Danio rerio: one gene and its partners. The protein of the gene in region 5 purifies or fractionates together with the protein of the main gene of each other region. This does not show direct contact. Links are inferred from orthologs where the notes say so. Each region holds a gene or a part of one and is shown on either strand. Other genes may lie near its edges.

Evidence for each region.
Region 1: the proteins of cdk9 (region 5) and larp7 purify together in Homo sapiens (affinity purification with mass spectrometry; 15 studies listed by BioGRID and IntAct, counting the BioPlex papers as one, with this or other methods). This does not show direct contact. The link is inferred for Danio rerio from reciprocal best matches to the Homo sapiens genes CDK9 and LARP7.
Region 2: the proteins of cdk9 (region 5) and immt purify together in Homo sapiens (affinity purification with mass spectrometry; 3 studies listed by BioGRID, with this or other methods). This does not show direct contact. The link is inferred for Danio rerio from reciprocal best matches to the Homo sapiens genes CDK9 and IMMT.
Region 3: the proteins of cdk9 (region 5) and paf1 purify together in Homo sapiens (affinity purification with western blotting; 3 studies listed by BioGRID and IntAct, with this or other methods). This does not show direct contact. The link is inferred for Danio rerio from reciprocal best matches to the Homo sapiens genes CDK9 and PAF1.
Region 4: the proteins of cdk9 (region 5) and mepceb purify together in Homo sapiens (affinity purification with mass spectrometry; 10 studies listed by BioGRID and IntAct, counting the BioPlex papers as one, with this or other methods). This does not show direct contact. The link is inferred for Danio rerio from reciprocal best matches to the Homo sapiens genes CDK9 and MEPCE.
Region 6: the proteins of cdk9 (region 5) and snw1 purify together in Homo sapiens (affinity purification with mass spectrometry; 4 studies listed by BioGRID and IntAct, with this or other methods). This does not show direct contact. The link is inferred for Danio rerio from reciprocal best matches to the Homo sapiens genes CDK9 and SNW1.

Annotation. Positions count from the first base shown.
Region 1 is NC_133182.1:62,360,463-62,366,180, reverse strand, and holds the start of larp7 (la-related protein 7), read left to right. Parts: upstream 1-2,405; 5' UTR 2,406-2,461; coding exon 2,462-2,478; intron 2,479-2,482; exon of another isoform or gene 2,483-2,606; coding exon of another isoform or gene 2,607-2,623; intron 2,624-2,760; coding exon 2,761-2,969; intron 2,970-3,053; coding exon 3,054-3,154; intron 3,155-3,258; coding exon 3,259-3,342; intron 3,343-3,435; coding exon 3,436-3,600; intron 3,601-5,015; coding exon 5,016-5,112; intron 5,113-5,264; coding exon 5,265-5,531; intron 5,532-5,718. UniProt on the Homo sapiens protein: RNA-binding protein that specifically binds distinct small nuclear RNA (snRNAs) and regulates their processing and function.
Region 2 is NC_133189.1:18,411,070-18,416,121, forward strand, and holds part of immt (MICOS complex subunit MIC60), read left to right. Parts: intron 1-1,146; coding exon 1,147-1,282; intron 1,283-1,448; coding exon 1,449-1,578; intron 1,579-1,687; coding exon 1,688-1,911; intron 1,912-5,052. UniProt on the Homo sapiens protein: Component of the MICOS complex, a large protein complex of the mitochondrial inner membrane that plays crucial roles in the maintenance of crista junctions, inner membrane architecture, and formation of contact sites to the outer membrane.
Region 3 is NC_133190.1:51,594,634-51,599,604, reverse strand, and holds part of paf1 (RNA polymerase II-associated factor 1 homolog), read left to right. Parts: intron 1-439; coding exon 440-541; intron 542-627; coding exon 628-733; intron 734-829; coding exon 830-898; intron 899-1,453; coding exon 1,454-1,557; intron 1,558-1,815; coding exon 1,816-1,932; intron 1,933-2,223; coding exon 2,224-2,352; intron 2,353-2,484; coding exon 2,485-2,590; intron 2,591-2,690; coding exon 2,691-2,778; intron 2,779-4,971. UniProt on the Homo sapiens protein: Component of the PAF1 complex (PAF1C) which has multiple functions during transcription by RNA polymerase II and is implicated in regulation of development and maintenance of embryonic stem cell pluripotency.
Region 4 is NC_133198.1:47,989,264-47,994,315, reverse strand, and holds part of mepceb (7SK snRNA methylphosphate capping enzyme-like), read right to left. Parts: intron 1,679-5,052; coding exon 1,460-1,678; exon of another isoform or gene 1,437-1,459; intron 1-1,436. UniProt on the Homo sapiens protein: S-adenosyl-L-methionine-dependent methyltransferase that adds a methylphosphate cap at the 5'-end of 7SK snRNA (7SK RNA), leading to stabilize it.
Region 5 is NC_133196.1:7,407,190-7,412,781, forward strand, and holds the end of cdk9 (cyclin-dependent kinase 9), read left to right. Parts: intron 1-1,016; coding exon 1,017-1,188; intron 1,189-1,570; coding exon 1,571-1,719; intron 1,720-3,194; coding exon 3,195-3,560; 3' UTR 3,561-4,089; downstream 4,090-5,592. UniProt on the Homo sapiens protein: Protein kinase involved in the regulation of transcription.
Region 6 is NC_133195.1:5,548,533-5,554,382, forward strand, and holds the start of snw1 (SNW domain-containing protein 1), read right to left. Parts: upstream 3,863-5,850; 5' UTR 3,851-3,862; coding exon 3,837-3,850; intron 2,357-3,836; coding exon 2,203-2,356; intron 1,115-2,202; coding exon 953-1,114; intron 851-952; coding exon 755-850; intron 1-754. UniProt on the Homo sapiens protein: Involved in pre-mRNA splicing as component of the spliceosome. As a component of the minor spliceosome, involved in the splicing of U12-type introns in pre-mRNAs.

The DNA of each region.
Region 1 (5,718 bases), on a different chromosome or scaffold from region 5:
TGTCGTGCAGCGCTGCGAAAAGGGGCGGGATTAAACAAGCTTATTAGACATTAAAAAAAAGCGAGTGATTGCTCCATGCTTTAAATTTCTGTTAAGAGAGGTCATGTTTTGATCCTCGGTTGGTCTCACGCAGTCAAGTAAGGCGATTTTGCAGGTCAGAGTTTAACAAGCTTGAACTTTGCACCACATGACCCTGCGATTCCGGTCTGACGCATTCAAGTGCGTATAAATGGAAGTCTATGGGAGAAAAAGCCCAATGTGACCGCAGCTTTTAGTTACGGTCACACTAGAGTTTGTGTGTGTGATATTCGTGCGGCGCTGCAAAAAGGGTCGGGATTAAACCAGCTTTTTTGGCATTTAAAAAGGCGAGCGATTGCTCCATGTTTTCAATTTTTGTACAGTGAGGTCATGTCTATGGGAGGAAAAGCCCAGTGTGACTGCAGCTTCAAGTTGCGGTCACACTGGGCTTTTCCTCCCATAGACTTCCATTCATACGCACGCGAATGTGTCAGACTGGAAACACAGGGTAATGCTTTAAGTTTCACAGGTTGCTGCGGTGCAAAGTTCAAGCTTGGTGAACTCTGACCTGCAAAATAGCTTATGGCACACACAATCTGGCACACACAATCTAGGCAAACCATATATGGTTACAACAGATGCTAATGTTATTAATGTCTTTTTGAACATCGTCATCGATTAATTTTAAAATGTATGGTTAATAAATATTGTAAACAATAAACAATAGTGTTTACTTTATTTCACAAATATTGCAATCAAGACGGGTGAATGGAGAGCGTTGTTTCCGATCGCCATTCAATATAATAAACTGAACAGTTTTCTATCAGCCATCATAGATGATCAGTCATTATTATCTGACAATAATATGGCAGATACTCGTTTGCTGGCCTTGCTAAACGATCTAAATTAGACAGGTTTAATTTATATAACGGATTCATTTAATGAAGGAAGTAGCAAGTTAATATCGGCAATAATACATTTTATATGTAATAAAAATCTTTTTACATGTAACAAATGTATAACACTAAATTAATATTTTACTCAAGCGATTTAATAGTGTTTATTTTCTTATTTTTTTAATAACTTTTTAATAAATGATTTACCACATTAAATACTGTAGTAATCTATAGTAAGCAATATTGTTTTTAAACCAAAATTTAGCAGTAAAATCAAATAACTATTAATTAATAAATAAAAAAAGTAATAAATATAAATTTATCCAGGGATATCGAGGGAAAGCGGGAGGTTGCCGCTTGGCATAGATATATACATTAAATGTCGCCTACCCTGTTGTTGTCTATTGAAAAGAATGCCGCCATTTTGGAACAGGGTAGCGCTCCTTTGAAATAAATGCGGGACCAAGGTACAGTGGTGGAGGACTGTGGCCATCCAAAGCCAGAGATCTACACATATATCTATGATCGGGAGTTTTCCTGGATGTTAGTATGCAAATTAATTTTTAAATTACGAAATTATCATTTTACATCACTTTTCTACATTGATGGATCAGTGATCGCATTGGCATTCCTGACAAAAAGCTTGTGTTTGTGTATTCGGAAATGTACAATCTACCCTCCTTGTTAAATTTGATCTAATCCGTGCCCTGAAACACACCTCCTCTCCTGCTTTTACTACTCATACGGAGGGAGCGATTCGTTTGTGAATGAATTTCCCTTATGAACGACTCATCTCGTTGTCATATTTCTTTTGCATTGTTTGCTGATTTTATTCAACAAAACTAGCATAAGCCGAGTATTTAGTGCGAATTGGAGCTACTTTGCCTTATGGTGAATGCAGTAACGTTAAGTGATTGATTATCATCAATAACGTTACCTGTTTAGCACAAAAGTTCATAACATACAAAAACGTAAAAACTTAATCTTACCTATGAAATCTTCTGCCTTTGTGCTTTGTTTTCGTTTGCTCGTTACTACACCCGTAGACAGCGCTAAAGTCCCGCATCTTCACGTAATAATACTGTCTTGACAAGTGCGGTTGAATGACATTTGTCCTAGGAGCACTGCACCAATGTGGCGGCGCTATTGACGCATGATCAGGGTCCCTATGCGATATCTAGTGTATATATCTATGGCCGCTTGGTTGCACCCTTACAGTCATTGGTCGCACCATGGCACATTTGCTATTGGTGGACTTTGTAAGTGTAAAAACTAAGGATAATCAAGGTAAGGATTAAAAAAGCAACTTAGTAAAAATAGGAATGTTCTCAGGAATGGGGATTGTGGGTTCTGAAACGTCTGTGCTCTGTGGGTTTGTATTTATCTTCGGAGGGCGATATATCAAATTCCCTTTAGCAATCCCTGCTATGACATATAACAACAAAAGATGGCAGTAGTTGGACAAAAAGGTGCAAGCTGTCGGTAGAATCCAGAAGAAGAAGAAGAAGAAGCAGCAGCAGCAGCAGCAGCAGCAGCTATTAAAGAAAATGAGTCGTCGGCATTGGTAAAATTCGTAAACGAACGATTTGCTTTGAACTAAGTTTATTAGTGTTCTGCTATAAAAGTATCTTACAATAATAGTATGACCATATAAATTGGTGATGTGTGTTATTTTAGTAAAGTAATAACTGGATGAAAGTGTGTCAACGGTAATGTTAAGTGATTATTATTTAAGTTAACTGGGAGAGCGGGAATGTTAAGACAGAAATGTGAAACGGATACCCAGCTCGACGTAATTGTTATTCAATTTCAGATATATAATTTTATGACTTTGATTCAACCATAGCAAGACGATAGACACAGAGAAGATGTCTTCTGTCGGGGACACCGCCTGTGCAGACTTGAGTGAGAAAAAAGATAACGAGAAAAAGAAGAGATCCCGGGTGAAACAGCTGCTGTCTGATGTGAAGAAGCAGGTGGAATTTTGGTTTGGTGATGTGAATCTTCACAAGGACAGATTCATGAAGAGTATCATTGAGCAATCACGAGATGGATGTATGTAACTTTATTAATTGTATGATTATCTGTCAGGATACCCATCATTCGTACATATTTCACTTAACATTTTATATATTGCAGATATTGACATTGCCGTCCTGACAACGTTTAACCGAATGAAAAACCTAACTGCAGATGTCAAATTGATAGCCAGGGCTCTTAAAAACTCAACAATAGTAGAGGTATGATTTGGTTTGACAATTTCTTGTCCTTTATAAAATGAATTTTATTTCAGAATTATCCACTTACTTTGTTAGCAACTGTAACACAGCTGTGGTGTGCTTAGGTTAATGATGAGGGAACTCGTATACGACGAAAGGAACCACTTGGTGAAACCCCAAAAGATGTGGACAGTCGCACAGTTTATGTGGTAAATTACTACAAATAAGTATACATAATAATGCTAGCATACTGTATGTGTCATTTCAATGTGTATTCTCTTAAAATTGAAATTGTGTTTTAGGAGCTGTTGCCAAAGACAGTCACTCACATTTGGCTGGAGCGAGTGTTTAGCAAATGTGGACATGTGGTTTATATTAGTATCCCCAGGTACAAGTCCACAAGGCATTCTAAAGGATTTGCATTTGTGGAGTTTGAGACGCAAGAGCAAGCACAAAAAGCTGTTGAGGTAACTGTTGATAACTTTAATATTTTATATAATTTATTGGGCTCTATTTTGACGATCAAAGTGCAAAGCACAGGGCGCAAACGCATTAGGGGCGTGTCAGAATCCACTTTTTCTAATATAAGAATGGAAAAACCCGATTTGCGCCATGGCGCATGGTCTTAAGCTTATTTTCTCAAGGAGTTATGGTGTGTTTTGAGAATAAAGCAATCAGAGTCTCATCTCCCATTCCCTGTAATATTCAGTTGCATCGCGCCATAGCGCATTTGCTATTTACATGACGTAAAGTAAGAGGAAAAACTGAGCATTTTACTAGCAAGAAAACAGTTAAACAGAGCGTCTGCAGCATAAGAATAAGAGATAAGACCTTCTCATTATCGACTTTCACTTTTGCTCTCGTGGATCGTAAACCTTGTATGCACAGACATCAATTAGCCTATAAATAATTAGTTTTGTTCATTAAACGCAATGATTTGTTTCAAAACTATTTCTTAATTCAGTTCTAATTTCCAGCAAATGAATAAATGAACAATATTAACAAAGTGTGTTCAAACAACTGAATTATATCCTAATACACATGCTATGCCCCATATGGCCTAAAACTTGACAGGTGGATAAATCTAAGCTTGTTTTTAATAAAACAAATATAAATATACATATAATAAATAATACAGCTAATAATAATAACATTGCACAAAAGCAAATAGTCATGAATGAACTAAAGAAGCCTCCCGAGATGAAGAAGGCATGCATGGAAGTATGGTTTTTATATTTATGTGGGCTAGAATATAATATGTTTTGTAATATTTTAATCCTTTATATTTTTATCTTATATTTATATCCTCAATATATCCTATTTATATATCCTTAGTACTTTAATTCTTTTTCATATGTAAAGATATTTGCGTATTGCTCTACATCTTGTGTGTATTAAGCAATGTGTAAGTGAGGCGCACAACTAACGCATTCTGAGCTGGACAATGGACCGGCTTTGTTCTGGTCTATAGAACAGACTATTATAGTTACTCAAAATAGCAACGTGCCAGCAATGAGCCTCAACGCGCCTTCCTTTTTAGACCAGAACACCTATGGGCGCACATATGAGCGCAAATGCATTTGCTATTTAAACAGCGTGGCGGAAAACTTCAAAACGACTCTTGTGCCAAAGCTTAAACTAGCAAACAACAATTGCGTCAGGCCTTGTGCCACATTGCGCCGGGTGTATGATAGGGCTCATTGTTATTAAATACAGAAAAGATAATGTAAATACAAACACCAAGTTGCTAGCTTTGGGTATACACACCCATTTTTTTATTTTTATGTTTATCATATTTTTGGTTTATTATTATTATTATTATTATTTTATTCTATTTTATTATTTTTTTAATTGTTTATTTATTTATGATTTAAAATGACAGATGCTGAACAATCCTCCAGAAGATGCTCCAAGGAAGCCAGGAATCTTCCCAAAGACTTGTAGGAAAAAGGCTGTCCCTTTTGATGCTGTCACACAGGGTAACATTGATATGCCTTATGTATTTTGAAAATACTGCCTAAATTAATTTGACAATATTTTAATGTAAAAGAGGGCAGTGGCCAGTTGATGTCTTTCTACCATAATAACTAAATGATCAGTATATTATTAATAGCACATTTTGTACTTTTAGACAATGATGAGGATGGGAAGAAAAAGAAGACGGAGCTTAAAAACAGTACTTCAGAAGAAACTGGAAGTAATAATATGGATCAAGACGGAATGTTAGAGAGCACAGTTACCAGTGAACCAAACCTTGCAACGTTGACAAGCACAGTAAGCAAGAAAGCCAAGAAGAAAAGATTGCGTTCTCAGAGTTTTGAGGCATCATCTGGGGAAGACCAATATGAAATGTCATCCAAAATGAGGAAAGTTGAAGAGGAAAAAAGCGAATTGAAAGGTAAATATTGTTTTAATAAATTCATGTGATTAAAAGGTATACTTGGCTCTTTCTTATCTATAAATCTCAGACCAAGAGCATTTAGGTATATATTTAGCTATAAGGCTCTTAAAAATCTTCAAAGTAGCAGACAAATGTTCTACTAGAATAGTTTTGCTGCATTTAACATGTTTTTGTCTATACTTTG
Region 2 (5,052 bases), on a different chromosome or scaffold from region 5:
AATTGTAATATTTAATAATATTGTGATAATCAAGATTTGTACATTCATACAGCTCTGGATAACTTAAAACAGCGATTAGACCTTCAGAGTATGGAAGCATATGAGTAGCATAATTTAATTCAAAATGTAATATGCAAAATGGCAATGCAATATGTTAAATGGCAATGTATTTCTGTATTTGAATTTGCATTTTCCAAGACATATGAGCAATGTTTGGTGCAGAATGAAAATGTAAATTAAATTACATTGTTTGCATTTCTCATTTCAAACACTGTTTTAATATGTAAATTGTATCCACATTTTAAAGCTTCATAAGTAGCGAAATTAAATTGAAAATGCTATACACAAACTGAATTTGATGTGAATAAAGTACAAGCAGAAACTGTAGCAAAATGATCATTTGAATGTTATTTGTCCTAAATGCATTTACACTCGCGTCTAGGAAATGCAGGATTACATTTTCAGCATAACAGCATGGGATGTGTGTAGCAAAATTAATTTTGAAATGTAATACGCAAAACGATAATGCAATATGTAAATGGCAGTGTATTTCTGTATTTCAGTTAGCATTTTCCAAGACATATGTGCAATGTTTGCTGCAGAATGAAAATGAAAATGAAAAAAACATAATGCATTTTCATTTAACACATCGCGACGAATGAAAGTCGATTTGAAATTGAAAATGCATTCTGGCCTGGCCACGCCCACAGACGGCCGCCGTTGCTGCAAGACGAGTTTTAGGTTATGTCGTCACAGCTGCAGCGAGGACTATTTGGGACATTTGGCAGCATAAACATGGTGAAGTCTGTTCCTCAGCGGCTTCGTGAAGCTGCACGAGCCCTCAAGCGTGAACTGGGAAATACTTTAGAAAACCAATCACCTCCTAGCTCAGTAAACTTGGCTTAAGGTTTGATATTCACGCACGCAGTTTTAGGGATCATCTGCAAATTCTCTAATGAAAATAAGTAAACAAAAAAAAGCGTTATACAGATAAAATTGAATTGAATATTCTGATATTGTATTTATCTCTGCACCTTTAGAAAGAACCAATTTGTATGATTTGAGTCTTGCACGTTGTTTAGGTGTAAATATGTACACTTGGTATTTCACAAATTACACTCATTTTTTTTTCATCTCTATATATAGAGGAGAGCTTGAAAAGCTGCGTAGTGTGATCGACAAAGCAAAACAATCCAAGATTGATTCGGCGAGACCGCAGATCCTGGCCGCTGAGGAGAACTTGCACAGCATGATTGTGGATCTGGACAAAGTTGTAACCAAGGTAAGTATTGTAAACATCACAACATAAATGTGCTCTGAAGAAACCCCCTGTACATATTAATGAGATTTGTGCCTGTAATCTATTTAGCTTTATGCTCTCAGTGACTATTAGTGCATCCCATCTGGATGTGTAACTCAATCCTAGGTGTTGTCTGTCTCCTGCGCAGGTGCAGACGGCACAGTCCGAGGCCAAGATCGTGTCTCAGTACAGTGAGCTGGTAAATGAAGCTAAAGCTCAGTTCCAGCAGGAGCTTGCCAACATCACACCTGAGATCCAGGCCAACTGGAAAGGACTATGTAAGATATCACACTCTTTACATGGATTCAAGTTCTCTACATTTTATATTAATAAAAGCTGATGATGGTTTATTAAAGTGATGTAAAGGGGATTCCATGTTTTTCTCAGCGGGAAAGCTGAGCGCAGATGATCTGAACTCTCTGATTGCTCATGCCCACCGGCGCATCGACCAGCTAAACCGAGAGCTGGCAGAGCAGCGCGTGAGGGAGCAGATCCACATTGAAGTGGCTCTAGAGCAGCAGAAGCTGGAAGATCAGAAAGCGCAGGAGAGAGCCGTGATTTCTGCTCTGGAGCACAGCCGAGAGGACATGAGACTCGAGCAGGAGAAAAAGGTCTGGTATTCACTGCTGTACTGTTATGCAAAGTATTAAATCGCTAAATAATGAATATGTTTTTTTAAGAAAGTCATATTTAGAATGATGTGTTAATATTCTCTGTAGCATCAGTAAGGTAGGGTCTGAATGGGTCATAAAATGAATTTTCCAAAATGTTTAGTTTTTTTAAATTTATTTTTGTGCTTAAATGTCTATTTCAGAGTGTCTGCTTGGTCTTAAAGTCTTAAATTTACTAAAATGCTGTGTTGTGGGTCTTAAAGAGCCATGAAACCCCATTGTTTCAGCAGGGTGTTTTCACACCTCTACTTTGGAAAAAGTCAGAAAAGTGGGCGTGTCCAGCTCTGTTTAGGGGGGAGTGTCGGAGGAAGAAAAGAGGAATGGTATGGGAGTGTCTATTTGGGCACGCGCGAGTTTCAGAGTCAAGACACACACACACACACAAACACGGGAGAAAGGGATGGTGTTTACATGGACATCTGTAGTCGAATTATTTGCCAAATTATTAAATGGTGGACTTTAACTGCAGTTTGGCTCTTTCACTCAGGGAATTCATTCATGTCCCTCGCGACAAACGAGATATTTGATTCGAGGAACTGCTCTAAGAGTGTATTTTTCATGCAATGTTTGATACCGCACGGCGAATGAGAGAAAAAAACCCTCCGCATTTCCCGGAAACTTAGATGCACACGGCAGGTAGCGTCAGAAAGCCGCGTGGGTTATTCCGGTCACAAAATGCGGCAAAAATCCTACACGAGGTTAAAGTTTACTTGTGGTGCTAACATGTTTACACTCGATGCTATAAGTAACTTAGTTCGATACGAACAAACTGAATAAACAAAGAGCACTGGTTGCTCACTTACCAAATCTATAGAGACAGGACAATCACCAGCAACTAGAGTCGCGTCTTTTTTAAGAGAAGACTTCAAGCGAATCCGGATCTCAGCGTTTGCAGATGAGAACAGCTCTCAGGTACACAGTGTTCCTCCTTAGACACGCAAGTAATTGTTGCCGAGCGTCGCGTGCACTGTTAATCCACACGTGACTCCAGCTGAGCTCTCACAAAGAGAAAATGAAAACAAATTTTAACTGCAGCAAACTATAAAAGCAACACTTCACGCTTGTTTTGCCAATACAACGTGTCGTCTCTGCCGTCTAAACACTGTGACAGTAATGACACTATGACAGTAATGAATATTAATGAAGTTGCACAATAGAGCGCGCTGATTGGTTTGAACCAAGCCTTACTCATGCATTAATGCATCACACTGTAAGACGTAATAAGACACACTCTGGCACAGACGCCCAGTCTGCACGCTGGAATACAACGCTATTATGTCATGGCCGTGACGCAGCTTCAAAAATTCGTTTCAAACCGGAAATACGAATTTGCTTGAAATAACGCAAAAACAACCAATTTACACTTTTTAGCGAAATATAGGTGTCCTAATAGTGTTTTTAGCAGTGTGGGACACATATACGACTGTCAACAGCTCAAAAAATGTGTTTTGGTGTTTCGTGACCCTTTAAATCTTTCTTAAACAGGTCTTAATTTTCCTTTGTTTATGTATTACTTCCCAATCTGGCCAAAACCCATACAATCACCAACAATCCATCTCAATAAATCTTTAAACTTTTTTAGAAGGTAAACTTTTTAAAAAGGTAGTTTTTAACTTTATTTATCATAATGGTTGAATTATTTCCCTACAATAATATTTGTTTAAAAGTTCTCCGTGTATTTAATGCTGAGGACATTGTCCTGGTCAAATTGTTGTCCATAGATTTAGTTTATTATACTTTTTAAACATTTTGATTTTTATGTAAAAGAAAGTTTATGTTGGGAAAAAAGTGTATGGAGACAAGTAGAGCTTGCTTGTTTTTACACAATATTTAAAATATTTAGCTAAAAAATAAAATCTAAAATATTTTAATTGTTTTTATTAATGTATTATTGTATTATTAAATGTATTAAATTCTAATAATTTTTTTGATAGGTCAAATAATAATCTTTTCCATCTGGGCCATTTTAAAAATTCCTTAGCATTTAGTGCTAGTGTAAAATTTCATTTATAATGAATGAAAAATGTCTTAAAAAGTCTTAAATTTAAATCTGTGAAACCTGCAAAAACTCTGTATTTTTTTTTTACGATTTTTATTAGCAAAATTATTTTTATTTAAAACAAATTCTTTGTCCAAAGATTATATCCACTGCCCAATAAACAGAGCAACTGTCCCTTACGGCTGGTTGGCCTACAGGTGGATGGTCCCACATTGCTCTTTAGGGCTGAACCCAGCAGGGTACCATGGGAAACAGCCAGGCCCTCACATACGAACGCCAACCCTAGCTTCAAAGTGAGGCCCCAGTTGCAACACACTAGGCAATGTCATGTCCCTCGATTTTATTGTACTCATAAGGGGGTTTTGAACCACACTTAAAGCTGATTTATACTTCTGTGTTGAGTGATTGCTGTGACCCACAGCGCATGCCTTGTGTGTAGCTGTGCATCTATGCTTCTGTCTGCTGCTTGTGTTGCTCTGCAACTTTAATCATTTGGTAAATGCAAAACAAAACTTTCCATCTGGAGCTCCTTCACGGGACTTGACACTCTTGGCTCTCACCCACACTCATCAGCGTTACCCAACTGACCAATCACAGAGCTTACGCTACATGTCGTTGCGACGTGTAGTTAATTTTTTTGAGAGGTGTGTGTAAGCGTCAGCTACTGTGAGAAGTATGCGACCGCATGAAGGCTGCACTGGACCATACGTGTGCGCTTGACGCAGAAGTATAAATCAGCCTTTAGACTGACCTGTCACCTAAAGCCGCCTTTCCACATGACATTTGGACACGACTATTATGCCCCCTTGTGGCAGTGGCACAGAATTTTCAGTTTTGTCATGTATCATGGGATAGCTCTCAAGCAGGTCACACACTGGATGCGCCACTCAGCACCGCGACACAGCGTGCACATGACAAAGTATCGCACACCAGATGCGCACATTCACAGGTTATTTAAAATTAAATTATTCAGATGGCACCTTGTGGTGCGGCAGAAATATGAACAGTGTCCTGAGTAGCTGGGCGCCACAGACTGCTCCTGACTGCCGACGGTGTGCGTACACTGATAGAAATCTATGTTT
Region 3 (4,971 bases), on a different chromosome or scaffold from region 5:
TGCGTGTGTGTGTATAACCTGTGTGTGTGCGTGCATGACTGTTTCTGTGTGTATGAATGTTTGAGTGTGTTTGTGTGTGTGTGTGTGTGTGTATAAATGTTTGTTTGTTTGTGTGTGTGCATGAATGCGTGTGTGTGTATGTGTGTTATAGGTGTATTGTGTTTTGTGCATAGTACGTGTCTCTTCATCTGCATGTGTTTTGGTGTGTAAATATTGATGTGTAATACGTGTGTGTGTGTGTGTGTGTGTGTGTGTGTGTGTGTGTGTGTGTGTTTCTGATCTCTGCATGTGTTTGTCTGCATTTGTGTGTTATCTACATCTGCATGTTTAATGTGCGTGTATGTCGTGGTGTATATAATGTGTGTACGTGTGTGTGCAATGTGTGCCTGTTTGTGTATATAATATGTGTGTGTGTGTGTGTGTGTGTGTGTGTGTTTAGGTCACAGCAGCATGCGAAGGTGGTGCCGTGGATGAGGAAGACGGAGTACATCTCCACTGAGTTCAACAGATACGGCGTCTCCAACGAGAAGGTGGAAGTCAAGTGAGTGACACCTGTCTGACCTTTGACCTCTCTGACATTACATGCAGATCATGGGTCATGTAACGTGTGTGTGTGTGTGTGTGTAGGATCGGTGTGTCCGTCAAGCAGCAGTTCACAGAGGAGGAGATCTATAAAGACAGAGACAGTCAGATCGCTGCCATTGAGAAGACCTTCGAAGACGCTCAGAAATCAGTGAGGGAACAAACACACTCACACACACACACACACACACACACACACACACACACACACTGATTTCTAAGCTCACTCTCTGTTGGATTCTTTCAGATTTCCCAGCATTACAGCAAACCCAGAGTCACACCGGTGGAGGTGCTGCCCGTCTTCCCTGACTTCAAGGTCTTACACACACACATACACACACACACACACATTCATAAACACTTAATCACAGACATGCTCACTGCAAACATACACACAGATACTCTCACACACACTTACCTTCACATTCAAACACACACTCAGTCATACACTCACGTAATCAAAGACTCGAATCACTTCCGCACACAAACGTACTCACATGCACATTCTTTCAGAGACATACTCACATGCTCACACACACACACACACACACACACACACACACACACACACTCCATTCACACTCACTCACACATGTCAAAAAGACGAGCAATAATCTAGCTGTGACTCCATGACGTGTTGTGTGTGTGTGTGTGTGTGTGTGTGAGATGCTGCTGCGGCAGTGGTGTGTGTGTGAGTGTGTGTTTGTGTGTGTGTGCGTGCATGCGTCAGTAGACAAGTTCACCGTGTTTCTAGAATTCAGCTCAGAAGTGTGTGTGTTGAGTCAGTAAATCAGTGTAAGCGCTGCATAGTAAAGGAGCTCTCACTGTGTGTTTGCGTGTGTGCGCGCGTGTGTGTGTGTGTCGTTCACAGATGTGGATTAATCCGTGTGCTCAAGTCATCTTTGATTCTGATCCGGCTCCTAAAGATGTGTCTGCACCGGCTGGAGTGGACATGATGTCACAGGCCATGATCAGGTGTGTGTGTGTGTGTGTGTGTGTGTGTGTGTGTGTGTGTGTGTGTGTGTGTGTGTGTGTGTGTGTGTGTGAGATGATGATGATGATGATGATGATGTGTGTGTTTCTCTTTATGTTGTTAGTTCTGTGTACCTTCATGTGTGTGTGTGCGAGCGCATCTTTATCTGTGTATGTGCATGTACTGTACTGTATGCATTTGTGTGTGCGCACATGTAATGAGCTGTGTGTGTGTGTGTGTGTGTGTGTGTGTGTGTTCAGAGGTATGATGGATGAGGAAGGGAATCAGTTTGTGGCGTATTTCCTGCCTAATGAAGACACGATGCGCAAACGCAAGAGAGACGTGGAGGAGGAGCTGGACTACATGCCTGAGGAAGTGTAAGACACACACACACACACACACACACACGTTCAGATTCACAGAGTGTTTTCATAAAGCTGCATACATGTTTAATAGGAGCAGGTGAATTCAGATTGTGTTTGAGTTTTCACGAGGACACACTCTGCACACACACACACACACACACACACACACACACACACACACACACACACACACGACTGACAATCCACTGTGATGACGTGTGTGAGGCTGTCTGTAACGTGTGTGTGTGTGTGTGTGTGTGTGTGTGTGTGTGTGTGTGTGTGTGTGTGTGTGTGTGTGTGCAGGTATGAATATAAGATTGCTCGTGAGTATAACTGGAACGTGAAGAACAAGGCCAGTAAAGGATACGAGGAGAACTACTTCTTCATCTTCAGAGACGCAGATGGAGTTTATTATAATGAGCTGGAGACCAGGTACCTGTCAATCACACTGATGGCCCCGCCCACCATCAGCACACCCACTTACTGTATATCACGGATTCATGTGTGTGTTGATGAACGTGTCTGATGGTAATCTTGTGTGTTTGTTTGTGTGTGTGTGTTCAGGGTGCGTCTGAGCAAGCGGCGGGCGAAGGTTGGCGCTCAGTCATCCACAAACGCAGTGCTGGTGTGTAAACACAGAGATATGAATGAGAAGGAGCTGGAGGCTCAGGTCAGTACACACACACACACACACACACACACACCGCTCATGTGATCATCTACAGCTCTCATTTACAGACTAATGAATGGTGTGTGCGTGTGTGTTACAGGAGGCTCGCAAGGCTCAGCTGGAGAACCACGAGCCGGAGGATGAAGAGGAGGAGCTGGACCTGGAGAAGGACATGCAGGAGGACTCGGGTAACACACATTCTACCAGTTTCTGTTAGTCATTATAGTTGTCTGTATAGTTTGTCTATACAGTCATGCTTTTCATTAGTTGTAGATTTCATTATGTTGCAATCATGGTTTCGTTATTATAGTTGTCTATATAGCTAGCTTCTGCCATAGTTTTTGTTAGTTGTTGCCTGTGTAGTTACAGTCACGGTTTTCGTTACTTATTGTAGTTGTCTATAGCAACAGTTGTGTTTTTGTTAGTTGTTATAGTTGGTCACAATTTTCGTTAGTTGCTGTAATTGTCTACTTAGTTACTGTCATGGTTTCTGTTGGTTGTTAAACTCATGGTGTCTGTTAGTTACTGTAGTTGCAAATGTAGTTACAGTCATGATTTCTGTTATTGTAGTTGTCTATATAGTAACAGTCATGGTTCGTTATGTTATAGTTGTCTATATAGTTAATCGTTATTTGTTAATTATTGTAGTTATCTTTATAATGACAGTCATGATTTCTGTTATTGTAGTTGTCTATATAGGTGCAGTCATGATTTGTTAATTATTGTAGTTGTCTATACAGTTACAATCATGATTTCTGTTATTATAGTTGTCTATACAGTTACAGTCATGGTCTTCATTAATGTAGTTGTCTATATAGTTACAGTCACGATTTCTGTTATTGTAGTTGTCTATATAGTAACATTGATGGATTTAGTTGTCAGAATCAGTTTCTATAGAATCAGTATCTATAGTTACGGTGATGGTTTTCATTACTTGTAGTTGTCTATATAGTTTCAGTCATGCTTTCAGAGTTCATCTGTGTGTTCGTATAGTTGTCTATTATAGTTACAGTCATGTTTTTTGTTATTGTAGTTGTCTATATAGTTACAGTCATGTTTTCCGTTAGTTATTGTGGTCATCTCTATAGTTTCAGTCTTGGTTTTCATGTTCGTGCGTGTGTTTGTGTAGTTGTCTATATAGTTACAGTCATGCTTTCTGTTATTGTAGTTGTCTATATAGTTACAGTCATGATTTGTTAGTTATTGTAGATGTCTATATAGTTACAGTGATGGTTGTAGTTATTAGAATCAGTTTCTATAGAATCAGTGTCTATATATTGACAGTGATGGTTTTTGTTACTTATTATAGTTGCCTATATAGTTAGCCATGATTTGTTAGTTATTGTAGTTATCTTTATAATGACAGTCATGTTTTCTGTTATTGTAGTTGTCTATATAGTTACAGTCATGATTTGTTAGTTATTGTAGATGTCTATATAGTTACAGTGATGGTTGTAGTTATTAGAATCAGTTTCTATAGAATCAGTGTCTATATATTGACAGTGATGGTTTTTGTTACTTATTATAGTTGTCTATATAGTTAGCCATGATTTGTTAGTTATTGTAGTTATCTTTATAATGACAGTCATGTTTTCTGTTATTGTAGTTGTCTATATAGGTGCAGCCATGATTTAATTATTGTAGTTGTCTATATAGTTACAGTCATGATTTGTTAGTTATTGTAGTTGTCTATATAGTTACAGTGATGGTTTTCATTATTTGTTATAGTTGTCTATACAGTTACAGTCATGGTTTCATTACTTATTGTAGTTGTCTATATAGTTACATTTAGTTGTCAGAATCAGTTTCTATAGAATCAGTTTCTATATAGTTACGGTGATGGTTTTTATTACTTGTAGTTGTCTATAGTTACAGTCATGATTTCTGTTATTGTAGTTTGTCTATATAGTTACAGTCATGGTTTTTGTTATTTGTTATAGTTGTCTATATAGTTACAGTCATAGTAACGCTGATTTGTTACTTATTGTAGTTGTCTATATAGTAACATTGATGGATTTAGTTGTCAGAATCAGTTTCTATAGAATCAGTATCTATATAGTTACGGTGATGGTTTTCATTACTTGTAGTTGTCTATATAGTTTCAGTCATGCTTTCAGAGTTCATCTGTGTGTTCGTGTAGTTGTCTATTATAGTTAAAGTCATGTTTTTTGTTATTGTAGTTGTCTATATAGTTACAGTCATGCTTTCAGAGTTCATCTGTGTGTTCGCGTAGTTGTCTATTATAGTTAAAGTCATGTTTTTTGTTATTGTAGTTGTCTATATAGTTACAGTTATAGTTTCTGTGTTCATGTGTTTTTGTATAGTTGTCTATATAGTTACAGTCATGTTTTCCGTTAGTTATTGTGGTCATCTCTATAGTT
Region 4 (5,052 bases), on a different chromosome or scaffold from region 5:
TGGGCGACGTCGTTGTTACTGTAAAAGATGCAGCGACAATTGGAAGTTAACCAAGTTTTCATATTACTTATAAAATACAATTCCTGTGTAATTTTAGCATCTACCTCTACCTCAACCCTAAACCCAACCCTTACTGTAATGTAAAAACGGTATTTGTTGTAGTGTCACAAAAATGATGCTATACTGAAGTGAGTATCCTCATCTGTATCGCATCTAGACTTCACACTCTCCTGCAGCACGGTAAAGTCTAAATAGGATACAGCTGAGGATACTTCTCATTAACTTCTGATTGCAGCTGTATCCCCTCAAGCAAAAACCACAGGAGAGATCCGAGCTGCTGGATTTAAGTCATGTTTATCCATAATTTTCTTCTGAAATTCATGAAGGTAAGCAACTGTTTATCTGGGAATAGAGAAAATATTCTAGTAACATAAACAGTGTGTATCTTACTTGAAAAAAGCACAGTTATATTGAAAAATAATTATTATTGCCATCTTCATAGACATCAGCATATATTTTACAAATAGTAAATGGTAAGTTTTGCTTGTAGTCATGTGTATTTGAATGTCTGACAGCACGAAAAAATTGTTATCTGACAAGTGCTGCGCACCTCTTGCTGTGCCTCAGCATGCGCCGTCAGATTAGAATTTTAGCAGTTGATGACGAGCGCTCTGAACATTCTAATCACACCAGTGTGATCATATGCTTCAGGGACCAGTCAAGGCTGATCACACCAGTGTGACCATACGCTTCAGGGACCAGTCAAGGCTGATCACGCCGGTGTGATCGTACGATTTAGGGACCAGTCAAGGCTGATCACACCAGTGTGATCATATGCTTCAGGGACCAGTCAAGGCTGATCACACCAGTGTGATCATACGCTTCAGGGACCAGTCAAGGCTGATCACACCGGTGTGATCGTACGGTTCAGGGACCAGTCAAGGCTGATCACACCAGTGTGATCATGCGCTTCAGGGACCAGTCAAGGCTGATCACACCGGTGTGATCGTACGGTTCAGGGACCAGTCAAGGCTGATCACACCGGTGTGATCGTACGGTTCAGGGACCAGTCAAGGCTGATCACACCAGTGTGATCATGCGCTTCAGGGACCAGTCAAGGCTGATCATGCTGGTGTGATCGTACGGTTCAGGGACCAGTCAAAGCTGATCACACCAGTGTGATCGTACACTTCAAAAACCAGCCAAGGGCGATCATACATATGAAACGGTTAAAGTGCTCTAGTGTCTGTGTAACTGTGTTTGCACTCGGTAAACCGCAGTGAACTGATGACCATCACAGCCAATGACAATCATTTCTGTTGAGCAAGTGAACACAATGGCCTATAAGCGGTGTTTAAGAACAGGCTCAACAGCACTTACATGATAGCAGGAAATGGACGTTTTTAAAATTTATCAAATTCAATACTTTTGACAACACTAGCTTGTGTGTGTGCGTTACCGTCAGTCTCTTGTGGCGGCTGTATGAGCTCCAGGGCTGCGGTTCGAGGATCAGCACTCCTCCAGGTAACAGGTGTCTGTAGATCCGCCCAAACAGCCTCTGAATTCCAGCGTCGCCGTAGTTCAGGTGAACCCACTTGGTCAAACTCAGACACAGAATGACATCATACTCCGCGCTCTGTGACACCACTGCCGCATCACTGTCCGGCACATAATCGCCCTGCAGGACATCCCACAAACACACACACACGTTTATAATGGACTGCACAATATTGGAAACGTCTGACATTACGATATTTTGTTTTATATATTGCAATATGAATATAATTACACCAGATGATTTTAGTAGCTCTTTTTAGAAGGATTTCATTTATTTATACTGGTATGAGTCTTCTTCTGTGCAGTGCATTTGCATATATATTATAATAACTATGGCAGCACGGTGGCTCAGTGGTTAGCACTGTGGCCTACCAGCAAGAAGGTCTCTGGTTCGAGCCTCGGCTAGCTCAGTTGATATTTCTGTGTGGAGTTCGCATGTTCTCCCCGTGTTAGAATGGGTTTCCTTTAGGAGCTCCGGTTTCCCCCACAAGTCCAAACACATGCGCTATAGGGGAACTGATGAACTAAATTGGAAATAGTGTATGTGAGTGTGTGTGAATGAGGGTGTATAGGTGTTTTCCAGTAATGGGTTGCAGCTGGAAGGGCATCAGCTGTGTAAAACATGATGGAATAGTTGACGGGTCATTCTGCTGTGGTGACTGCTGATAAATAAGGGACTAAGTCAAAAGAAAACGAATGAATTAGTTATAATAAATTACAAGTATATAAACATGGCATTCGTGGTTTTCTTGGGAGTCTAACACAAGTCTAGCACAGAAATTAAACAATCCAACCTAAAATAACAGGGTCATAATTGTATAAAGGAATTTTTAAAGATAAAAACTTTGTGTTTTAATCTTTAATAAATAATGTAATCCTGTGATGTGACTATTGCGCATATGCACGATCGATGCTCAAACAGATATATTGTTCAGCCATGGCCCCCATGAATCTCTGTGCATTCGGGTTTAAAGGGAAACTCAGTTCAACCCAAAATTAAAATTCTGTCATCTTTTCCTCATCCTCCACTTATTCCAAACCTGTTTGTGTTTCTTTCTTCTGTTGAACACACATGAAGATACACTGAAGAATGCTGCGAAAAAAGAACAGCTATTGACTTGTACAGTTTTTTTTGTTCCTTCTATGGATGTCAATGGCTCCTTTTCCCCCCCATCGTTCTTCACAATACCTTTATTTGAGTTCAACAGATGAAAATCAAACTGGTTTAGAAGAAAGAAATGTGCGTTATAAAAAAATAGTAATAAAATAGTGTGAGTAAATGAGGAAATTTGCTGTTTTGGGTGGTGTCCCTTTAAGTCCCCACCAGGATATAAAAACATGAAAAAACACACACTCACAGGGGCATGTCAAAACCTGACACTAAAGGAAGGTGTGGCTGAACACACACACACACACACACAACTCTGTCTGCATGACTAGAAATACTCAAGATAGGAAGCCTTGTTTTGCAGGGAGCATGAACAGTATAAATAATGGATACCAGAGGGTCCAAAATACATGAAAACATGAATAAATTAATATTAATAATAATTAAAAATATATAAATAAAGAAAAATAAATATGAATAAAAATAAATAAAATTATATATATATTTTATATAATTGTAAAAATAAAATATATTATAAAAATAAAAAAAAAATAACATTTAAATAAATATAAATTTTTATATTTATAAATTATTAAAAATGTTAAATGTTATTTTTTATTTATTTTTAATTGAAAGAAAGAAAGAAAGAAAGAAAGAAAGTGTTAGCATGAATCTGAAACAGGCTTAAAGTCTGCTTAAAGCGGATGTTTCACTTCCTACAAACTTCAGTGTTGTGACTTCTCTGGCTACTGAAGTGTACTATTCAGAAAGGGCGGGGTTTACATTGGAGGGGCGTAGCTATGAATGTTCTGGCCAATCAGTCAGACTGACATCAAAAGAAGGTGGAGATTCCAGAGCGGAAGCACATCCTCAGATTCTGATCAAAGATGAACGACTCTAACAGTCCAGTTGAATGTCCTGACATATTTAATTTCATTTAATTTCTGTAATTATTTTAATTTGAACAAACTATTTGATGGTTTTAGCTTTAGTTTTAATAAACATTTATCACTAGTTTATGGTAAGTGAGATTTAAACACACAGACTGAGAAATGCTGCTTATTCAAATGCAAATTTTCAATCCAAAAATTCAAAGAACAAACGGATTTTTCATTTTTTATAAAGCTACACAGAAATATTTTATATTTAATATAAATTTATAAAAAAACTTAAATATTAAATAAGTTAATAACATAAAATGTCCTATTATTTTAGAGGTGATTGTGGTAATTGGCTGGCTGGCGGCGTGGCATCACGTGACGCTGCTTCCAGGCCTTCATTAAACTGTATGGGGAGACTCAACACATTGTAATAATAAACGTTGCCCAATATCAGATGTCCAGAAAGAGATTCATTTTTAAAAAATTGTTAAAATATTGGTGTCTGTGATGCAGCATGTCAAGAGACTGTTGTGTACACCACAATTTAATATAAAATTCACTTTAATGTGTGATATGACTAAAATGGTCAGGAACAAATCTTTTCTCTAAGAAATAATTGCAATTATGCAATTAACTGTCCAATTGTCCGCACTGACGCTTAATAGTCTGTTTTCGAGTCCATCCAGAAATGTAATATGTGGCCAAATAATAATAATATAGGGCATGTAAAAAAATTCTAGGAAATATTTTGATCTTATGTGCATAAGTACATTTCTAATAATTGCAAATGAATTTGTAAACTGATATTTTTCCAATATTTTGTAAAAAAAGAGGTGTATATGTTATTTTATATATGTTCATGATATAGACAGATGGGTTGATGGGTTGATGGATGCAGATAGAAATATAGATAAATAGACAGACAGATAGAACTATGATAGATAGACGGATGGATGGATGGATGGGCAGACAAGACGGACGGACGGACGGACAGATATGGATGGATGGATGGATGGATAGATAGATGAATGGATGAATAGATAGATAGATAGATAGATAGATAGATAGATAGATAGATAGATGAATGGATAAATAGATGAATGGATGAATAGAGAGAGATAGATAGATAGATAGATAGATAGATAGATAGATAGATAGATAGATAGATAGATAGATAGATAGATAGATAGATGAATGGATGAATAGATAGATAGATAGATAGATAGATAGATAGATAGATAGATGAATAGAGTTAGATAGATAGATAGATAGATAGATAGATAGATAGATGAATGGATGAATAGATAGATAGATGAATAGATAGATAGATGAATGGATGAATAGATAGATAGATGAATAGATAGATAGATGAATGGATGGATGGATAGATAGATAAATAGATGAATGGATGAATAGATAGATAGATAGATAGATAGATAGATAGATAGATAGATAGATAGATAGATAGATAGATAGATAGATAGATAAATGGATGAATAGATAGAT
Region 5 (5,592 bases):
TGTTGGGTTAACTTGAGAGCTTGTTGGTTCAATTCTGTGTGTAGAATTGGCATCGGCTGTCGGGCGTTGTCTGATTGGTTTTTCAGCAACAAATCCGGGTTTGAGTGCGACTTAGCAAGTAAAGAAGTCATGCCAAGAAGGGTCACAAAGAGCATGTGTAATTCCGCCGGTCCTACACCACCCAACCCGCCCCGAGCTGGTATCGATCCGGCGACCTTCCGCATGGGAGTCGGGTGCTCTACCAAGGAGGCTAAAGACCATGGCTTCTAGTGTCCATCGCTAATAGTAATGTTTACCTGCACAGCACTTACTAGCTGGCCTCCGTTACACTCAGCCCCCTAAACCTCACTCTCATCCGGGTCACGACACCTATGTAACCCTGCCAGTCCTACACCACCTAACCCGCTCCGAGCTGGGATTGAATAGGCGACTTTCCGCATGGGAGTCAAGTGCTCTACCGAGAGATTAAAGACCATGACCTCTAGCGTCTGTCGCTAGAGGACCTTTAGAGGTCAGAGGAGTGAGGTTTACCTGCACAGCACTTACTGGCTGGCCTCCGTTACACACAGCTCTAATTTCACTATATTTCCCAAGTATTTGCAAGCTATATGGATTATTAATTAGACATATTTGCACAAGCAAATCCCACCGTGGTGAGTGACTATTACTGTGATTATGGGCGCTGAACGCTGCTTTGTTTACAATTGATGCTCATTCGAAGTTTGGTTTCCCTTTGTGGAAGGAGAAAACAGATACTGCCCCCTGCTGGTGGGGAATGACATGTCCTTGCACAGATGCAGAATGTGGCTCGTTTCTGTCGTCTTTTGTCAGTTTGGTCTGGTCATGCGCAGCTTTTGCTCTAGATGGGATCCAGCACGATAATAATAGGTTTTGTTGGGTGTTGGAGTTTGGCGTCAGCTTGGTGTGTCCCGGTCTTTACATGCTTTTACAAGGCACTTTTATCCAAAGTGACTTCAGTGTTTCCAGACTCAAGTGTATTATGTGTTTTGTTTCAGATCCTCCACAGAGACATGAAAGCAGCCAATGTCCTGATCACCAGAGATGGTGTCCTGAAGCTGGCTGATTTCGGTCTGGCCCGAGCCTTCAGTTTGGCTAAAAACAGTCAGGGGAATCGCTACACAAATCGGGTGGTCACTCTGTGGTATAGACCGCCTGAACTACTGCTGGGTGGGTGAAACCACATCAAACACTTGTTACTTTTCATTTTCGCTTTGTGTTGATATTGTTACGACCGGCTCATTGGAGTCGCAACATGAAAGATCAAGCAACAAAATAGTGCAAATTATTTATTATAATCAAAACTAATACAAAAACAATGATATAAATAATGCAAAACAAACCCAAAATGTTAAGAGTCAACCAGATTCGACTTCTGATTAACCACACAGTGACCTGCCCTAGCTAGCACAACAACTCTTATATACACATTAAAGCAATTATAGATTAGTAATGCAGTCATCCAATCAGGATCTACTACATTCTTTAATGAGGTCTGGGGACTTGGGATCATCACAGTATGGATTTATTTATTTATTCTGTATTTTTGTAGGCGAGAGAGACTACGGGCCTCCCATAGACCTGTGGGGCGCGGGGTGCATCATGGCGGAGATGTGGACCAGAAGCCCCATCATGCAGGGCAACACAGAGCAGCACCAGCTCACACTCATCAGTCAGCTGTGCGGATCCATCACTCCTGAGGTACACACTTTACTCCAGTAATGTTGGAGGATCAGCTCACGCAATTGCCAACCGAAAACATACTTTTCAGATGCTTTGTCAGCTTTTTATTTTCAGGATTTTTGTGTATAATTCACCTAAATTCATTAATTTTCCTTTAGCTTAGTCCCTGATTTATCATGCCAACTACTCTGGCATGTGTTTAATGCAGCGAACGCCCTTCCAGCCGCAACCCAGTACTGGGAAAATTTCACCGAAAATTTCACTCCCTTCAGAATATACTGATTGTACCATTGGGTGCACATAGTCCTCCAGAATGGTTCGGTTGTCCTTGACAGTGACAGATGCGCCAGCGAGACACACACCAATTTGTCCTCTTTTGAACTCTGTCACCCATAATGTTGTGTGCGTTGCAATATTTTTAGAAAAAAATGCTTTTATTCTTTTAATTAAACCTTCACACTCTGCTCCTACTGGTGGAATGTGCAATCACTGGTCAAATTCAGCCATGAAACCTCCAACTTTAAATTGACCAGCGTTTCAGTTTCATTGTCCAACGTCTGTATATTTATTATGCATATGAGATGCACACACATACATAAAGACAATATTTGTTACATAGATATTTTATTCTATTACGCAGTTTAATGAAGTGTATATCTAAATATAAATAAACATTTCTCTAATATATGTATGCATATTTATGTGTTTATATTTACACAAAAAGTATATACAGTACATACATGTTATCTTAAAAGTTTTTTATTTTGGATGCAATTAATCACAATCTTTGCCCAGCACTACAGGGTATCTTAAGTATAAGTCTTAATGTCTTAAATTTTAAAAAACAAATTTAAGCCTTAAAAAGTCCTTAATCCGCTGAAATATTGTGTTGTAGGTCTTAAATTAATTTTAAACTGGTCCGAATTTTCCTCTGTCCATGTAAAGCTTTACCCAATTGGGCCAACATCCATCCATCCAAACACTAACAATATATTTTTCCAATATATTTAATGGTTTTAAGAGACGTTTATTTATTAACTCTATTTACTTATTAATGTGGTTTAATTATTTTTCTTACAATTACCTGTTTTTTTTTTTTTTTTTTTTAATTTCAGGGTTTTCACCTTTTAATTGATAGGACAGTAGAGAGTATAGACAGGAAAGTGTAGGGAGCAGAGAGAGGGGAAAGATCGGCATAGGACCGCGAGGCGGGAATTGAACTCGAGTTGCCAGAACACCAGAGTGCCATGTGTCGATGCACTAACTACTACACTACTAGCACCGACACAATGACCTGTTTGTAATGTTAAGGGTTTTAACTTGGCTATTTGAATAATATTTAGCATTTAGCCTTGTGTTGTCTGAAATTTCATTCATTGTGGTCTTAAAATGGTCTTAAAGTCTTAAATTTGTCTTGGTGAAACCTGTGTAAACCCAGCACTTGTGTTTATTGATCCGCCTGTATTTAACATCTCCATTCTGCACTGTCTCAGGTCTGGCCGGGTGTGGATAAGAAGTATGAACTGTATCAGAAGATGGAGCTTCCTAAAGGGCAGAAGCGTAAGGTGAAGGACCGGCTGAAGGCGTATGTGAAAGACCCTTACGCTCTGGACCTCATAGACAAACTGCTGGTTCTGGATCCGGCGCAGAGAATTGACAGTGATGACGCTCTCAACCACGACTTCTTCTGGTCCGACCCCATGCCCTCTGACCTCAAAAACATGCTCTCCACACACAACACCTCCATGTTTGAGTATCTAGCCCCGCCCCGCAGAAGAGGTCACATGCCTCAGCAGCCGGCCAATCAGAACAGAAACCCAGCCACCACCAGCCAATCAGAGTTCGACAGGGTCTTCTGATTAATCTGTAATTGGTCGAGGAGAAAGAGACTTATTTAAATGACTAAATATACATTTCAGCACATCTTGGCTTGGAAATCCAGGCAGATGCATAGAAATCCTGGAGTTTACCATCTGCACTCACTATTGTAATTACAAAAAATACTGATTGTGGATCAGATGAGTTCTGTTGATGAAACTTTTGATGCTTTATTATGGAGCTTCAACACTTTTGAGAAATGAGTGTATTATTGTGCTGCCCCAGTGCATTGTGGGAGAGAAAAGAAGTGTACTTAGTGTATTGATGCACAGATTGTGTTATTGGATGTGAGTCTCCTGAGAAGATGATTTTGTATTGTAAAGAGCGACACGCTACTTTTGTCTAGGAGACATTTATTTAAACCCTTCACTTCTCTTGACAGATTTTATTGTTAATTTAGCTGCTTATTTTTAAAGATGTTTTTATTTGTAAGATCACGTGTTCAGGGTCATGGTGTTTGTTACTTGTATAAGTATAAATACACCAATAAATCCTCCACATTTCCCATCATTGTTGTTGTTCGTGCTGGAATATTGGGATTTAGCTTGTGGCTAAATGCAATATAATATGAATGCAATATGCTTATATAAAATACAGTATAAATGAATGAATGCCAGAAGATTGTCATATTGACATACTGCACATTATTAAGAAATTAACTGAACATTTAATTATCGCATGCAGTGCTGAGGCTGAGAATTTTTATATTTTATAGATTGTCACAAAACCACAAAGTAAAGTTGTGCTGTAATGCATGCATTTTCTCCATTTGCTGTGTTCTTGTGATGAGGATTCTCCATCCTCTCTGCTGTCAAGCTGATAGCTGCTATTCTACTGTTCTCACATCGAGCCATATCACAATTCCAGTTTTTGTGTCAAAAAAGAGCTCTTCAATTAAAAATAAGATGTGTCACACCATTTAAGGTGTTTTTGAACTTGACTATCTTACACAGTATGTTTATGGAACCCTGGAAAGAAAATCCATAAGAAATTAGATGTCCAGGCTATTTATTTTGTTTTACTGTGTTGCATGATTATGATGCAAAGCAGATGCTATTAGCTGTTGTAGGATAATTAGTACACACTCTCAGAACATTGAACCTCTTTTAGATTTAGAAAACCCTTCAGCCGAAACAAACTTGTAAAAAGAAAAAATACATCTGTCATAAGTGAATATTTTGATTACTTGCATTTTGATTTATAGTATTAAAATGTAGGCATTCATGCTACTGCCTAAAATCCAACGAGATTAACCCTTTAACTACACCACTAAAAAAATGTTTGGATTGCATTTCTTAACTCCTAATGTCGCTGGTTAACACACTCCATGCATTTTTTCCCAACGCATCCCATAATTTATAAAATTTCAGCTTCTATCAAATTTGTCTGTTTATGATAAAAGTATCAGAATTAATACATATACTATGAAAAATAAGAACATATGGTGTAGGGCCAATTTATTTAAAAACAATCAAAATAAAACTTTCTTATATATTAAATCGTTTTTATTGTTTGAAATGTCATAAAATATTTTAGATTCTCATTTAACATTTTTTTTTTCAATATCATTTTTACTGTAAAACCAAAATCAAGTGTAGTTGTGCAACAGGATTATGTTTGTTTGATTTTTTTTTGTAAACCAGCAATGCTGAACCACTATTCAAAAGTCCAGGTCCTTATTCAAAAACAGTCAAAACATCGTCTGTCCATAGACTGTGAGAACGGCAACATATCTATGAAGTGACAGGCGTTAAGGGAAGAGCGTCTGACCCTGAGCTCACTGATTGGCTTACGCGATTGCTGACCGGGCGTGGTTAATTCCTCCGCTACTGAGTGATTGGCTTACGGCGAGTACCGCGTGCTTGTTGCAAAATTTCCGTTTTCTGTCACTGTGCTCTTCTCTTTAGATGTAGTTCAGTACCTGTAACTCTTACCATCGATCACATTTACTCCACTGTTTTTTGACACAGGTAAGTTACCATTTGTATAACCACGTTTTTACTACAAATAGCA
Region 6 (5,850 bases), on a different chromosome or scaffold from region 5:
TATATTTAGGGTTTCAGCAGGTTTCTTTAAGTGTAATTTAAGACTTTTTAAGACCCTTTCAAGGCCAATATGAGTGAAATTTCAGCCTTATAGGGACTTTTTTTAATAGCCTGGTTACTTCTGTAAATAGTTTTTATATTAATGGAAGATCATGTAAAGGGATGTGTTGCATTAGTTTTCATTCCCTGATTAGGAAATGTAATTTGGAGAATTTGCTGTAAAAATGTCTAGAAGCTGTTGTGAATTGTATAATTTTGCAATAAAAAGCTTAAATATAAACAAAATAGTTTTAAGATGGATTATTGGGTGTCAGTCCGTTAGGGTAGCTTTACTTGGACACAGGAAAATTAAGACCGGTTTGAAATGACCTATGCCACTATATTTTAGTGAATTTAAGACTTTTAAGGGCTAAATTTCTGCTTTTAAAAGCATTAAGACTTTTAAAACCCTGCAGACACCCTGATATTAGACACTAGTGTGTAAATGAAGACTAACAAACCTAATGTTAATTAAATCAAACAACACTGATAGAAAATTGTTAAGCTTTCTTATTATTCAAAGTTCACTTCAGTAACTTAAGAAAAATGTTAACATTTACATAATTTCAAAATGACATGCATTAATTGTGTAAATATTTAATTATAGTATTTAATTTTTAAACAAAAGGGTACATTATAGCAGTCTTAAGCATGATTGTGAAACTGAAACAAAATTGTGAAATCTATCAGAAACTGCTACTGAATTGTAATCTTACCTCTCTCACTGCCTCTTCATCTGGTTTCTGCAGCTCTGGATCATCTTGGTTTAGCACTTCCTTAGGAAGCATGTCTGTGTATTTACTAAATATGACCTATTCAAAAAAACAAAAAAATTATGAAAACAAATCATATCCTTAGGTAAGAGCCACTGAATATATGAATAAAATATGAAATAACACAAGAGGATCAGGTACCTTGTCTTTGCTTTGGCCTTGTCTAGCAATAGCATCATATTTGATCTTGCCCTCTGCATCCACCTGCACTGCCAGAGCATTGGACGTCCTTTTCTTCCTACCCATTTCCAGAGGATACTGGGCAACATGGATCTCTGGAAAAGCTCCTCCATCTCCAAAGTCCTTTAAAAGAAATATCATTCATTCATTTATTTATTTATTTATTTATTTTCCTTCAGTGTAGTCTCTTATTTATCAGGGGTCAAGACCGCGGATTGACAAGCCAAAAGAAATATCATAACACTTATTATTACCGTTTGTTAATTCACAGTAAAATTATGACATCAGAATACAACTATTCATAATTCTAAAGTTGAATTATTATGTTTGAGACAAGTGCTTGCCATTTGTCATTGACAACATCATTAGAACATTTTTACTGGTAAAATGAGACATTTGTCATTATCAGACTCCTTCTTGCATTATATTTATCATTATATAGGCTAGGGTAGTTATCCTGACATAGCAAACATTCATTTTCATGCACAACACTGTGTTCACTATGAAAGAAAAAAAACATATCAAATGTTTGTTGTAATCAGAACTGTAAAACGCGTTATGATTATATAAATGATTTGCAAGCCGACTTTACTTTCACTTCCGAGTGCGGCTAATGCCTGCAGTCACTCTGAGAAAACAATACACACATGCAAATCTTTCTTTTAGCACGACTCTCAAACGATCGTTCTGTGCAACAAACTGAACGTTATTTACAACTTTATTACATGTTTTTCACAGCCTATGCAGGTTCTGTTCACTAAAGGAGGAGTCATTTTTGTACACGTGCGTGTTCTCGGTAGTAAACAAACAGGTTGCGGTCATTACATCATTACATTTCGACAGTAATGACATTTCTGGGAGAATTATACCTTATAAATATAGTATGTGACACTTTTAACACCATTTGAAGGTGTCAATATTGCTGTGAAGGCTTGTGCGACTGCCTTTACGCTTCTGTCCTGACCTTGAATTGGCTGAATCGTAGAAAAGCTGAATTAAGATCGTGTGTAGGGTCAAATCGAGATCATGATCTTTTTTTCGATTAATCGTGCAGCCCTGATCAGGCCCACTTGCAACCACACTTTCTAAATACACTGGATATGTCATGTGGTCTTATCACTTGACTATTTACAAATGCGGGTATTGGAACAAGCCCATAATGCAGCAGGATATATGACAGCTATCAGCACGTAATGTTTAATTGTTAGTACCTCTAGAGCCCGGGGTACCCATGACTTTCTGAAGCCGTAAGGAGGAGGGTCTCTGCGGGTGGAGACCAAAGCAGTGGACTGGGATCTGTATGCCTGAGACCTCTCCTCTGCCTCCAGCTGGTCCTGGGACAGTTGGGTGGGCGCAGGAAGAAAACTAAAAGAGAATGGGGAAAAGAGCCAAGTCAGATTAAGAGATGTGCAATCTAATAATTTCTTTTAAAAGTCTATCCTATGTGGTGTCACAAAATACATTATTAACAGTAATACTTTTTCAGAATTTTAATGATTTTATGTTTTTATTTTATTTTAATATTACACTACATTATGAGGATGTGGACAAAAACATGAATAACAGCACTGTGTGAAAGTTGCAATCTTAAAAAAAAAACATCTAAAAATATTTCAATTTTATTATTTGAGATGTATTTTTGAAATGTTTTGCCTTTATTAAACAGTAAATCAGAATGACAGGAAGATAAGTGAGAGAGAAGTTCAGGAAAGGTCCACAAGCCTCGAACTCGGGACACCATGAGCACTGTACACTAAACCACTGGGCAATTTTTAGTTTATATTTATACATTCATCATGACGTTATGAATAAAGTAAAGAAAATGATGACTTATGATGAAGTTTGATTTTTGTCTAATGGCCCAGCCCTAGCCAGGATGACATATTATTAAACCATCAGCTAACAATTGAGGTAAGGTTTGTTTTATATTCACACATTCAGACTTTCTCCTTAATAATACAATTTAAGAAAAGTATTCTTTGCAAACTCTACATAAGAAACCATATAAGCCAAGCAATCACCGACTATCAAGGTATACCATTGCACAATCAAAATAAATTGTGCTAATGTTGCTTTCGAGTCATACTTGTATATGATTAAAGACTGAATATTCAAAGTATCATGATAAACAATATAGGGAGCATGTCATAAGTTGACACTAAACAGAATGTGCGTATATAAAACCAACTTTACTGCAATGTAGATGCAAAATTCAACCTATATTCATTGGAACGTGGGTGATTGATGTTGAAACAGTGGCTCGATCTCACGTGAAAATATTATTGCATTAATAGACTAACGTTATTCGAATGGCCTCAATTGTAACATTACGTCAAAAAAAAAAGTTAATGCTACCTAACGTTAAGCATTAAGAGCCACAAACACAGCCGTCTCTTGGGGGTGAGCAGAGCTATGAGTGTGTTGGAATAGTGCATATGTACACTGATAAATAAAATTGCTACGACGATGATAAATAACGTTAGCCTAACGTTACACATTACATCCAGGAATAAATATATATTTTTAAAGTTATAAATAGCTTTTATATAAGCAATTATAATGAATAAAAACATAATAATGAGATATTCAAAGTCCATTTATCTTTTAAATATGTTATTATTTGCTTTTGCTGTGGCTGTAGCTTTAGCTTAGCATTCACTATTATACAAAGACCACAACACAGCAGGCCTCATCGTCTCACATAACACAACTTGGGTAATAACTAACACAGAGTTTTCACAAACTGTAAATGTACATACATGAAAAACACATGTACGCTTTTAAATTGAGTTTCAACACATAAATTGAAGCATAAAACCTTAAAAACAGCTTCTCTGCGTCTTACCTCGTAAGCGACATCTTGGATTCTGTGCGTTCTGACGTCACTCTACTGTCTCATAACTTCTCGCGATGTTTAGAGAATTAAGGGATTAAGCGCTGTCAAAACTGTATAAAGAGGATAATATACAGTTTAGCGTTTTATAGGCTTTATATGTATCGAATATATCTATACATTCTATATATACCTATCTAAACTATAAAGTATAGACTATACATTAGCCTACAATCTTCTGACAGCACATATCATGTGGAAATACCACTTATGGCAAGCCGTTTTAACATTTAAGCTATAACGCATACTAGTAGTATATTATTATGTTACTAGTGATTATTTTTAGATACTAGTATCTTTTCCTTCAACTGTATTAGATAGTGCTTATTTATTAGATACTAGTGCCTATTCTTTAGATAATTGTGCCTCCCCTGTAGAAAAATCCAGCTTAAACCAGCCTAGGCTGGTTGACTGGTTTTAGCTGGTCGACCAGCCTGGTTTAGAGGGGTTTTGCCCATTTCCAGGCTGGCTTCTAGCTATTTCCAGCCTGGTTTTAGCTGGTCAGGTTGGGAAATGACCAGCTAAAACCAGCTTGACCAGTCTAGCCAGACTGGGAGTCCAGCCAAAACCAGCTATGTCCAGTTTAAACCAGGCTGGTCAGGCTGGTATTAGCTGAATTTAACTGGTCATTTTCCAGCCTGACCAGCAAAGACCAGGCTCGAAATGACTGGAAACCAGCCTGCAAATGGCCAAAACCCCTCTAAAGCCTCTTTTCCCTGTGTTTATTACCAATCCAGAATCCTAAAATCTATGCTACATAATTGCACCTTACAGAATCTATTATACAAAATCTTGTCTTGGTGACAGCATTGACAGCCTCATGAGAGCTTGTATTTCATTTAAACTTGGGGGGAAAGCATTGATATGGCTATAAAACAGTTTAGATATGGCTATAAAACAGATTAGAGATGTGTTAATATCACTTCCTCAGCTAATATCTCTTTCCCATTCATCTGTATTAGCTTTCCAGGATATTTCACTGGTTGAAGACAGATTGTGTGTTAATTCACAGGGCTGCCGAGCTGTGTGCGTATAGCCTTAGAATACTGATGTGTTAGACTCTTACACCCTGTGTTAGCCTTGAGCAATAAGACATATGCAAAGAAGACAGTTACTATTATCTGAGCAAAATGGCCACAAGGGACTTTACGAGCCCTGCCAAATGTCAGATTCCATTTAAAACTATTAACATGTTCTGAAGACCTGCTTTTCAGCTTGACAGACAACTTCTTTCTTTAAAGATAATGGCTCATTTGTAGATGTTTATTTCACACCACAGAGTATTGAAAAAGACTGTAGATGTACTTAATCAAATATCGTAAAGCTAATTATTCTGAATTCACTCATTGACTGTTGTGTTCATCAGTCAGCATTGTCTCAGTACAATGCATAAATGTGTGCTCTGTAAAGCCTGAAAGGATTAGTTCAAATCAAATCACTTTTATTGTCACATCAGCAGCAGCACGTGTGCTATGATGAGTAAAAAGCTTAGGTGCTGGCTGCCGACTGACTCCAAAACAACAGTTTAATTCACCCAAATATGACAACTCTGGTAATACTTATGCACACTCATAGATATGTACACTGGATGTCGCCTGGCCTATTGTTGTCAATTGAAAGGAATGCGTCAATGGCGCCGCCATCTTGCTACAGGGTAGCGCTCCTTTGAAATGAATGCGCGACCAAGGTACAGTGGAGGACTGTGGCCATCCAAAGCCAGAGATATACACATATACCAAATATCTATGATCGGGAGTTTCCTGAATGTTAGTATGTAATTTTTTTTCTAATTGCGAAAATTATAATTTTACATCACTTTTCTACATTGATGTCTCAGTGACCGCACGGGCATTCCTGACAAAAAGCTTGTATTTGTGTGTACAGAAATGTAATATCCACCCTCCCTGTTAAATTTAATCTAATCATGTCCTGAAACACAGCTCCTCTCCTGCTTTCACTTCTCATA